Linked DNA regions of Callithrix jacchus. The protein of the gene in region 1 purifies or fractionates together with the protein of each later gene. This does not show direct contact. Links are inferred from orthologs where the notes say so. Each region holds a gene or a part of one and is shown on either strand. Other genes may lie near its edges.

Region 1 (6,021 bases):
TAGGCAACAGACCAGTACTGGTCAGCAGCCAGGAGGTTGGGGACACCTGCAGTAACTCGAAAGAACACAGCAGGTCTGGACAGGAGAGGTGGCTCATGCCTGTAATCCTAGCAGTCTGGAAGGCTGAGGTGGGCGGATCACCTGAGATCAGGAGTTCAAGACCAGCCTGGCCAACGTGGTGAAACCCCGTCTCTACTAAAACTACAGAAATTAGGTTGGCCTAGTGGCACGCGGCTGTAGTCCTAGCTACTTGGGAGGCTGAGGCAAGAGAATCACTTGAACTCAGGAGGCAGAGGTTACAGTGAGCCGAGACTGTGCCACTGCACTCCAGCCTGGGCAACAGAGCAACACTCTGTCTCAAAAAAAAAAAAAAAGAATAACATATCAGGTCTGAAACTGAGAGTTTGACAAGTATACCTACGTAAACCTCAACCTGCAACCAAGCACTGGGATAAAATATGTAAATACCAAAGGGAAGGAGACAAATCCTTGGTTGGCCTGGCACAGGGGCAGGGCTCACACCCAGTGCTTTGGGAAGCAGAAGCTGAAGGACTACCTGAGCCCAGGGGTTCAAGAACAGCCTGTACAATATAGGAAAACCCCATCTCTACAAAAAAATATATAAAAATTAGCCAGGCACAGTGGCTCACACCTATAATCCCAGGGCCTTGGGAAGCTAAAGAGGGAGGATCGCTTCAGCCCAGGAGTTCAAGACCAGCCTGGGCAACACTGCAAGACCCTGACTCTACCAAAAAATAAAAATTAGCTGGCCAGGCACAGTGGCTCACGCCTGTAATCCCAGCACTTTGGGAGGCCGAGGCGGGCGGATCATCTGAGGTTGGGAGTTCGAGACCAAGCCTGACCAACATGGAGAAACCCTGTCTCTACTAAACACAAAATAATGACCGGGCATGGTGGTGCATGTCTGTAATCCCAGCTACTCGGGAGGCTGAGGCAGGAGAGTCGCTTGAAACCAGGAGGCAGAGATTGCAATGAGCCAAGATTGTGCAACTGCACACCAGCCTGGGCAACATGAAACAACGTCTCTAAATAAATAAATAAAAATAAAAATTAGCCAGACGTGGTGGTGTACACCTGTAGTCCCAGCTACTTTGGAGGCTGGGGCGGGAGGACCGCTTGTGCCCTGAAGTTCCTGGCTGCACTGAGCTATGATCGAGCCACCGCACTCCAGCCTGGGCTACAGATCGAGACCCTGTCTTAATGAAAAAAAGAAAGAAAGAAAAAGAATAACAAAAAGGAAAGCTCTCGATTAGTCCCATCCGTGGGGGCTGAAGCTGCTCCAGAATTTCTACGGGTTCAAGGGCAGCAGCCTAGTTGCAGATGGGGGAACCACGGCAAACCTCAGAAGCTGTCCTCTGTGAACTGGGGGCATAGCCTAGCTCCCCCAACCTTTTTCCCTGCGGCGCCATCTTGGGAGAAAGGAACAAGTGACTCTGCCCCGCGAAGATTCGAGAAGGTTCCTGGGGGACTTCAGGGGCTTTCCACAGTGGAAGCACGGCGGGGGCGGGGGCTCCCTGCACGAAGCAGCGCTGAGGTCGACTGGTTCTGACCTGGGCTCTCTGAAGAGAGAAAAACTCAATCGTTGGTCAGGTCCAGGAGCTCCAAAGACCCCCCAATCCTCAGTCACTTATTTCCTGACAAAAGAACTTGCGAAACTGCCGAGGCGCCACACTTTGGCTCGCGATTGTGAGGAAACTGATTGAGGAACGGAATGGGACGCCCATGCCGCTTCGCCAGCACTTGACAGGCGTTCCGTGGGGCCACATTCCCTCTGAAAGGCCACCGCCTGTGCCGCAGCAGCAGCAAATCCGACCGCGTACCCTTCCTCACCACAGTCTACCTAAACCCGGACTGCGCGCCTGTGCTATGCGCATGCGCAGACCGCCCGCACGGCCTCACCGCGCAGGCGCCGTGGCTATTTCCGGGATCTGTCAGCCGCTCCCTCTGGGCTTCCGTCCTCCGCCCGCGCCCGCCGGAGCCTGTTCGCGTCGACTGCCCAGAGTCCGCGAATCCTCCGCTCCGAGCCTGTCTGGACTCCCCGGACCCCAGGTAACGGCCAGCAGGGGCAAGCGTCTCACCCTGTCGGCCTCTCTTGTCCCGGTCTCGCGCCGGACTTGGACCCGCGGGGGCGGTGAGGTGGGGGCTTAGGCCGCGGGGCCCCGAGGCTGAGGCGCGGCCGGGTCTGCTGGGGCCTCCTGAGGGGGCGGGGATCCCCTTTCTCCGCGGGTTCCCTGGAGTTTCTCTCTTGATGTTCAAGCTCCTAGCCGTCTCCAATGCCAGAATTAACGACCTATTCTGCGCCCCAGGGTCCTGATTGCACCTCTGCTGGGGACATTTGTCACCGTCTCTAAAATTGTGTCAAGCAGGAGAATCCCCTAATCGAGCGTCCCGCGGGACCATTCATCTCTTTAGCGTCTGGAGTCGATCCCTGCATACAGCAGGCGCCCATAGGATGTTTGCCTCCTCTCTAGGCAGCCCTCAATCTTTCAGTTACTGGGGAACCTTTCCGATCTCGAGAAAAACCTTCTTCTGAGTTCTTTCAGATCCCCCTGCATGAGTACCGCCTTCCCCCAAGTCAAAATCGCACCCTTCTCGGCTCTCCTGTTCGTAAAATCTTTTATGCCAGTCTTGGCACCACCACTTTGTTGGGTGATCCTGGGAAGACTGCTTCTCTGTGCCTGTTTTCCTCATGCAATAAAAAAGATTCTTACTGTTTTGCTAAGGATCAAATGAGCTTATTTGCATAAATTGCTTAGAATAGTTCCTGGCCTAGAGTAGGTGATCAATAAATATTCACTATCATTACTGCTTCTGGGCGTTCTGTGCATATCTGTCTCCCTTTCCTTTTCTACCTTCTCCACTCTTAGCAACCACCAACCCTCCAGACTTGAAGACCAGAATGGTGTCAGCCTTATTTATGTTTCTGTCCCCATCCCAGTATTTACAACACTGCTGGGAACATGGTAGGCACTTAATAAATTATAGCTTAGAATCTTTGATTATAAAGCCATCTGTTCTACTGCAGCTTTGGAACCTTCTGTCTGTGTCAACTCATAGCTTAAATTGCCGAGATTATCTTAATTCTGCCCTCTCTTCTCAATTTTATCTAGTCTTTCGGTTTTACATAGGCCCTGAGTTTTCAGGTAAAAACAAAGGAGGGGTATCAGTCAGGAAGCTGTTTTTGCCCCGTTAGGAAGTGGGTAACTGTGTGGCTGTTTTCTTCCTTTTTTTTCCTGCCCTGCAGCCTCGACCTCCTGGGCTTAAGAGATCCTCCCACCTCAGCCCCCTGAGTAGCTAGGACAACAGGCATGTGCCACCACAGTGGGTGAATTTTCATTCATTCATTTATTTTTCTGGAGACAGAGTCTCACTCTGTCACCCAGACTGGATAGAGTGCAGTGGCATGGTTCAAGCAATTTTCCCGCCACAGCCTCCTGAGTAGCTGGGATTACAGGGTGAGCCACCACGCCTGGCTAATTTTTTTTTTTTTTTTTTTTTTTTGTATTTTTTGTAAAGACAAAGTCTCGATATGTGGCCCAAGCTGGTCTGAAGCTCCTGAGCTCAAGCTCTCCCCCCACCTCAACCTACCAAAGTGCTGGGATTACGGGTGTGAGCCACGACACCCAGCTTATATGGCTATTTTCTCCCATATTCGGAGTATGTATTAGAAGATCTTGTGGAGTTCATCTACTAATCACACTTAAAGGAAGGGATCATTTTGGAAAACTCTTGTTTTGGAGGTGGAGTTGCCATACTTTAATCTAATTGTTTCCCAGTGCTGAAACAAATCCTTCATGAAGAAGTTTAAAATGGTCTCTTGGTGAGGTTGGTGCCTGGACTGGAGCCTGTCTGAACATTGAGGAGGGTGTGGTGACCTTGTTGGATTACTTGATATTGCTGGGTTGGGTAATGAGAGTGGTTAGAAACTAGGTGAATCACGGTCTTAAAAACTGACCCAAAACCAGGGACAGAAATTCCCACTTGTGTGAATACTTTCAAGCTCCAAAGGAGTAGGGCCAAGAATTTATAGCAAATGTCAACAATTATAAGCTCAGAGGAAACTAACTGCTGGGTTCTATGGTTGGTTTAAAAGCCTTGGGTCAAAGGAAGAAAGGGAACCTACTGACATGTATTTCAGAATAGGCTCTGTACTACTTGCTTTCACACGTTGTCTCATTTAATTCTCCTTGTGATGTCAGTGGTATATCCACTTTACAGAGGGGAAAAAAAATGAGATTGAGAAATATTAAGTGACTTGCCCAGGGTCTCATAGCTAGTGTGTGTCAAAGCCAGGATTCAAAGCCAGCCTTGGCTTCAGAGCCCATGGCTAGCCATACATCAGAATAACTCTATACACAGTGATAAAGAAAAGGGATGGGGGGCAGGCACGGTGGCTCATGCCTGTAATCTTAACACTTTGGGAGGCTGAAGTGGGCAGATCGCTTGAGCCCAGGAGTTTGAGACCAGCCTGGGCAACATAGAGAGATCCTTGTCTCTACAAAAAAATTAAAAGTAGCAGGGCATAGTGATGCATGCCTGTGGTCCCAGCTACTCAGGGGGCTGAGGCGAGAGGGTGGCTCACATTTTTATTTGTCCCCTTTTCTTCCTCTCTAGCTCTACTAAGACAAAGCTTTTCAGATTTCATTTAAACATTAACCATAGTTTAGAAGTTATAATTATCACCCTATGACAGAAGGTACCCTTTCTTAGTATATAATTCAGGCTATTAGGAATTTCTTCTGCATTCACTGGGTTTCATGAATGCAAGCTGTGTTTGCTAGGTGCATTCTAAATTTGACAAACATGAGTGTTGTCCTGGCCTACAGACTTAAAATAGCCATATGATTAAAAAAGAAGTACAGGTCTTGAGTATATGTCCAAACATGGAACTTGAATGATATGGCAAAATTAGAAATGCACACCGTTGTGTAAATGGTCACCTCTTTTGAAGTCTTTGGTACTTTGCTAATAAAACTGAGTTGAAAAATGAGAAAGCCTTTTGTCTACAGCTGTGCTTTTCAACTGGACATGAAACACGTACTTTTATGGCACAAAGATATTCACATCAAATTACTGATTTGCAGAGCAGTTTTATTTTCAGTTAACAAAGAAGCTTATCAAATGTGGCTTTTGAACTAAACCACTTTTAATTAAGGAGCTATTTTATGACACAATGTGTTATTTTGAGTAGCTGTAACTAAAATCTGTTGTGATGGAACAATTTGGAGTGAGCATCTGATATCAGAGATAAAGAGAGAAGCCTGCAGTGAGCATCTGGAAGTCTTAAAAAAAAATTAAACATTCTCATTTGAATTCATCTAAAATTTTTAAAATTGCCAATTCCTAAGCTCTTTCTTTGTCAGTCGTAGTTTGCTTTCTTGACTGTATAACAGAAAAAAGTAATGACTTAAGTATCTTCACTCTTAGAATGGAATGTGAAATGCTGACATTTCTCTGCCAGTTCAAGATATCAGATGTTATTTATTTAAAGTTGCACTTACTTTAGTTCGCCCTTTTTTTTTTGTTTTGATACAGAGTCGCACTCTGTTCCCCAGGCTGCAGTGCAGTGGCACCATCTTGGCTCACTGCAACCTCCACCTCCCATGTTCAGGTGATTCTCATGCCTCAGCTTCCGGAGTAGCTGGAATTATGGGTGCCTGCTACCATGTCTGGCTAATTTTTGTATTTTTAGTAGAGACAGGGTTTCACCATATTGGACAGGCTGGTCTCAAACTCTTTACGTCAGGTGATTCATCTGCTTTGGCCTCCCAAAGTGCTGGAATTAAAGGATTGAGCCATCGCTCCCAGCCTGGGTTTCTTTACAGTTAGCAAAGGTGCTGCTTCTGCTTTCTAACTGAGATTAATTTCTGCTTTGTCAGCTGAACTCTCATTGTTCACTTTACAACCTTCTAGTGGCCCTTCCATTCATTTCCTGCTTGCATCAGAATTCATATCTCACATTTCAGCCTCCACCCTAGGTTGACATGACTTATACTTAAG
Region 2 (6,212 bases), on another chromosome or scaffold:
TATGGACAATGCGGTTGATGCTATGGACATCATTTTAAATAAATACGTAAAAATAGGTTCTTAAGAATTAGTAAAAGACTGCAGAGAATGTAAGTTGCACAACTGTTCTGAAGGGCAATTTGGCAATACCACATATATCAAAAGCCTTAAAAAAAGTGCATTCTTTGATTCAATAATTCATGGCTATGCATTTATTGAAAGCGAGTAATCAAAAATTTACCAAAAAATATTCATTTCAGTGGTTTACAACAAGAAAAAAACAGTCTAAATATATAACAAAACATTAATTATGTATACACTGCAGCTTATCCATATACAGCTGTTAAAAATGCTATAGAAATAAACTTAATGCAAAGGAAAGCTCATGTACATTGCATACTGCTGAAAAAGCAGGTTATAAAATTTCATTCTTAAAAAACAAAAGGGAACTCTGTAACAATATAGGAAGGCCCAAAAGTAGTAACATCTCTGGGTGGTGGGACTATGGCTACTATCTTTTTAACCTTTCCATATGTCTGAGCCTTCTACAATAAACATTTAGTATTTGTATGTTTTTAAAAAAATCTTTAAAAAGCAATTACAATCTGTTTACTTTTGTAAAGGTTTGTTATTTTTCAAGCCTTTGTCTAAATTCAGCATGAGTGGTCTTCTCTAAAAACACACACAGATGATTTCACTATCATTTGAACTTACTGTGTCTTACCACGCAGCATTATTGTAACTCTACATTACAGGGCTACTTTTTCATGTGAAATTCTTGCCTATCAAACTACATTAGAAGCTATTCTATGTCAAAGATAGAAAAAGGTAAAAAATACTGTTGTTGTTTTTTGCAACTGCAGAAGAGTTTGCTAAGAATAAGATATCTCAGAGGTCACTGTGTTGTGTCTGCCACTCACCTTCACCGCCTGACTCTTGGTGTTGATAGGGGGGTTCTTCAGCGCTGCCTGTAGGGCAGCTGTCATGTTTCCTGTGGTGGAGGTTAAGGGTATAGCAACAAAAGGATGGCCCCCAGGAAAGCATTATAACCACCGGTTCTTAAGACTTTATATATAAAAAGAAAATTACTTTGGTTACCATGTTCAATACCAGATATTCAATGTGTTGGTTTCTAGGATGTTAATCAAGGGCAAAATATCAAAAGCAAAACAGAACATTAGAATTTCTTTTTAATAAAGCAAAGACTGGCTCGCCCCTGGTTCTAACTATCAAATGAATACCTTGATAATCTTTCATTTCCCAGTTAGACACATATGCAAACATTACCTGGAGAAACCCTAAGAAGAAACCCTAAGATATGTATCAGAATTATTAGTCCCCCAAATGAAATAACCGATTATCAACTAAAATATGTTTTTTCATGTGATTCTAGTTGAAAAAGTAAAGACCAAACTTTTACTAGAACTATATTCTATATTAACTAAAATGCTGGTAGAAAATGCTGGCAGATTAGCCATCTGAATGATAGACATTAGCAATCTCTCAATATTGATGAAAAGAGGCATCATAGAAGATGTAATAATTCATATGACCCTTAGGTGGCAGCCTAAGTTTTTGCTTTAGATACTTTCTCTCATATTTTACAAAGGTTATTCAAACTGTGTTAGACCATACCTATTAAATTCAGACTCTTTTTGAAAGCACTAGTGAGTTAGCAAGCATGAGAAACGGAAGGCCAATCAGACTGTCAGAATGTTCAGCCATTCCCCTAAAAGGAAAACCACAGAGTTCACTCGTTCCTCCATCTCCAGCACCCCACCACTAGGGCTGTCTTTCCTGGCTGTATGTAAGAGTAAGAAGAGACAGTATCTTTATATTTTAAGATGAACTGATGAAAAAGCAGATCCACTGATAGGGATACAGCAGTAACATTTAAGAGTCACCACAAATTACCTAAAATACATTGGGGTTTCATAAAACATCATCCATCTCAAATAATGTTTTTACAAAGAATGTTCACCCTTTATCTTCTGAAGAAAAAGGTCTCACACACACAAAATCTCTGGTTGATAAGCTGCAGGGATTTCTAGAGAAGCATGCCTTACGTAGACTGGCTCATTTCTTTATGACCCCCAAGCACTGAAGTATTTAAATAATGCAAAAGAGCAACAGCTAACTGTGAAAGTTGTGGCAATCAAAGCAATACCTATACATTGATAAATGTTTAATGCTGTATTTAGGTGCCTTTATAAAAGAATACAGTTGCCATTAAACATTTTCACTCACACATCTCCCCAATATAATTTAACAGGACATTGTTGAGGAGAGTCTTCCTTATGAATACACTCAAGAGAAGTGCATGCAAACCCAGTAACCGAGATTCTCTAAAACGACAGCCTCGGATTTTTGCAGCATTTACATCGCTCTAAAAAAGATCCGATGCATACGCGAATCAAAATTGATGAATATTCAAATATGCAAAAACCAGAAACCAGGAACTGACAGCCATATTTTAACTAACATGGAATCAATTTTAGGATTACAAAAATGATTCTGCTTTATACAAATGACTCATCTTCTTATTCATTGGGGTTTATTTTAAATATTTCCAAGGATTCTCCACATGCGTTCCCCGTCTTTTTTTCATTATCCTTTTCTTAGCAGGTAAAAGGCTCCAAGTTTTGTATTTTTTGTATTCATTCTCCTCCCCCGATTAACAAATTCTGTGCAATGTATACTTTGCCAAATCCCCCCCCCCTTTTTTTTTAAAGCCAATGGGCTGAAAGCACAGGAGGCCTCAATTTTCGAACCTTTCCATCTCCCCGCTCCCCCTCAGTAAGGAATAAACTACCTTAATGCTACCAATAAGAAAAACACAACAAAAAACAAAGCCACTATGGAAAGACGTCGGGTCCCCACCATCGGAGATTTCTGGAGAGAATGTGACCCCAGAAAATAGAGTTCTAGGAAGAAAAACTTAAGCGCTCGGCACCAGCCTTGCCCACCAGCCCGGGCCGCCTTCCCCTGCTCCGCGAGGGCGCGGCCGGCGGGACCCGTAGCCGAGGCAGGCACTCGGGCGCAACCTGAGGAATCGGGGGGCGTGGAAGGCGCGCGGGGGAGGGCAGGCTTCCAAGAGTGGGACCCTCGCGTCTCCCGGCTACTGGGGAGGAAACGGAAGCTCCCCATGCCCTCGCAGAGCGGGAGACCCCAAAGAGATAGGTTTCGTCGCGGGTTGAGAGTGCAGTTCCGCGCCGGTGCCCCGCGGATCCTGCAGGCGCCCGGGTCCCCGAAGAAGAGCTGGCTGGGCTGGGGTGGGGAGGGCGGCAAATGCAAGGATATTGCCGCAGGCAGGAGTCCACCTCGCCCTCGTCGGGCCCGGCCTGGCCGTCGCCCCCATCTTCTTCGTCCACGAACTTGTTCTCGTCATATTCATCCACGTCCACCTTCCGGAACCGGGCCGACGACACTGTGTTCTTCGACATCCCAATCCCGACCAGCGGCAAAAGCCTCTTGTTGCTGCCTCTACCTCAGCAAGCCCAGCCCAGCAGCCCACTGCCCGACGCCTGATTCACTTCCCTCTTCCGTTCTGGGGCGTCGCCGGCAGCCGTGACTCGGACGGTTCTGGGCCTGCGCGCCGGCCTCGCTTCTTCCTCCTCAGGTTCACGCTCTCCTGGCGCCTCCCACGCCGCCCCCGCTCTTCCACGGGGAGCGCGCGCGAGGGAGGGAGCGCGCAGGCCCGGGCTCAGGACACAGCGCGCAGGCCCGGGCTCTCCGCAGGAAAGGGGCGGGGCGGGGCGAAGGAGGCGGGGGCGAGAGGGAGGGCAGAAAGACGGACGGCGGGCAGAGGTAAGAGGCGATTGGTCGTCCGAGTGCGTCACGTGATTCCCAGGGGTTCCCATAGAAACGCTTTTCTCCGGTCCAGTCTGAGGGGTCTGAGGTTGGCGGCGATGGGCAGCAGCGGCGGGTGGCCTTGGCTTTTGCTGCAGCCATCAACGACCTGTCATCGGGGTCCTGCGTAAGGTCCGGCTGGCTGGGACTTGGCTGTGGGTGGGATGGACTGGCTGCCGGACCGAGTCCCCTGCAGTTGGCAGGAGTATGAGGCGGAGTGATGCACACCCGGGCGCCCAGCATCGTTCTAATTGCCGAAGACGTTGCCTCGGACTGTGCGCTGCCAGGGGCTGCGTTCCTGAGCAGGAAGCCCGTTTCCTGGGGTTGGAACTACCCTACTTGTCCAGCGGGAGGTCCCCAAGGACGGAGTCGAAAGGTCAAATCTTATCTGTCAGTGCTGTGTGACAGCATCGCGACGGGATCTGCAGAACCTGAACTCGGTATCATATCCATTCAGAGGGAGGGGAAGGTGTCCTGGCAGGCGCTGGGGTCGGGTTCTACAAAACTGGGGTGAATTTGTAGAATTTGGGAAAGGGTCATTGGCATCTTAAAATAGGTGGTTGTTTGGAGCAAGAATGCTCGAAGAGGGTGAGGGTAAGTTAGGCTCTCTAGTGCTGGGGAAAAATGTGTAGGATTAGTGGAAAACAGACCTTTGAGATTTATATTATGATTTAAGATTGATATGATTCCATCTAGGCCAGATTTTTAAAAAATTATTTGACATCCCCATTTCTGGAATGTAGGAGATAAAGGTACTACTAAGACGAAGGAAATGGTAGTTGTGCTGTGTGTATTACACTGAAGAACAAATATTTGCAGGATAAAATTAATTTGGACATTGGCTGGACACTGCTCAGGTGTGGGTCCAGTTTAGTTGGACCTTGAGCAGAAGACTGGCTGTTGCCCTGTTGTGTACCTCAATCTTTGGTTTCCTGTGCTGTGTCGAACACTGGGCTTAGAATCAGAAAACTCAGGCTGAAGTCTTGACTCTTCCACTCATAATATTTGAATGAGGCATGTCACTTAAAATTCTGTCTCAGATTCCTCATCACTGAAATGGAGCTAATAATGTGTACTTCACAAGATCGTTCTTAGGATTAAATATCATGGAAGGGTTTCCAAGCTCTAAAATTCTACATAAATGTCAAAGGCATGTTACTTGTACCATTGGTTTTGGCAGTAGTCTTATAAATTGCTCAATGATATGTGGTGCTTTATCTTCTAGAAAGATTCTGAAGGGCAGAGACAGTTTTTCTTTTGTATTTTCCTTCTATCTGACATAAAGCTAAGCATGCAGAAGGGACTCAATACATGCTTGATGAATGAATGAAATGTGAAAGACTGTACAGTTTGAGAACCATACCGAGAATAATAAATCAGAAGAGGAAGAGAGATTTTAAAATTAAACATTTGTTGGATATATACATATAAATACATATGTTCAGTCTTCTCTAAGTTTGAAAAAATACATACGTACGTGTGTGTATATTTATCTATGCAGTATATTATATATAAATAGAGAGAGAGTGGGAGAGAGACCTCAAGAATGGAATGCATCCCTTTTTCTTGGGAAGAAGCAATGTGTCATTTTTCTGTTCCCAGTTAAATCACTCTTTTGTAAGTATAACATTTAGGTGATAGAAGTAACATTGCTTTAAATTAACATTCAAGTTATGAACAGACACATTGGTAAAAATTCTCTTAGGACTGTCTTAAGACAGGAAAGGAAAAAATTTTACCTGTTGGTAATATTTATTTTAAAAAGCCATATACCAAAGTATAAAATCATTATATGGTGAATGGCATTATATAACATAGAATAAAGATTTATTTTACAATTTTTTTCAGTTTCAGTCTTAGCTAACTAGATGTAAAGGTGATTGTACTTTTTCTTCTTTTTAAATCTAGATTTTTCTTTGAAGAGAAAATCGAACATTAGAGGCACTATTGAGAGCAAGTGGAAACAAGGATTCAATAGCTAATACATCTCTTACATTTCTATTCTTTTGTATTGTCTGATTTAGAATTCTTTGTTTTCTTATTTGAGAACTACAAAAGAATCCCAGAATAGAAATAAACTTAAGGGAATAGCAAAAGGAATTTGAACAATCGATTGCTCAAGGGAATCGATTGTTCAGAATTTTGCACTATATGCTGAATGTGTTAAATGTAATTAATTGCCAGCCAAATATTACGTATAAGATGTGAAAAATGTCATTTTCTAATGCAGTATTTTTTATTGTCTCACAATGTTCTAAGTGCCAAGTACATAATAGGTACTCAACACGTTTCTAGCCAATGATTTAATGACCTGACAAGTTAATTTTGGACTAACATTCAGAGATTGAGTATTTTTTAATGGGCACATAAATTACTTCTCTACC

Evidence for each region.
Region 2: the proteins of ARPC1A (region 1) and ARPC5 fractionate together in Homo sapiens (co-fractionation; 8 studies listed by BioGRID and IntAct, counting the BioPlex papers as one, with this or other methods). This does not show direct contact. The link is inferred for Callithrix jacchus from reciprocal best matches to the Homo sapiens genes ARPC1A and ARPC5.

The regions. Positions count from the first base shown.
Region 1 is NC_133503.1:14,252,072-14,258,092, reverse strand, and holds the start of ARPC1A (actin-related protein 2/3 complex subunit 1A), read left to right. Parts: upstream 1-1,967; 5' UTR 1,968-2,070; intron 2,071-6,021. UniProt on the Homo sapiens protein: Probably functions as a component of the Arp2/3 complex which is involved in regulation of actin polymerization and together with an activating nucleation-promoting factor (NPF) mediates the formation of branched actin networks.
Region 2 is NC_133519.1:41,805,578-41,811,789, forward strand, and holds the start of ARPC5 (actin-related protein 2/3 complex subunit 5), read right to left. Parts: upstream 3,518-6,212; 5' UTR 3,423-3,517; coding exon 3,279-3,422; intron 972-3,278; coding exon 900-971; intron 1-899. UniProt on the Homo sapiens protein: Component of the Arp2/3 complex, a multiprotein complex that mediates actin polymerization upon stimulation by nucleation-promoting factor (NPF).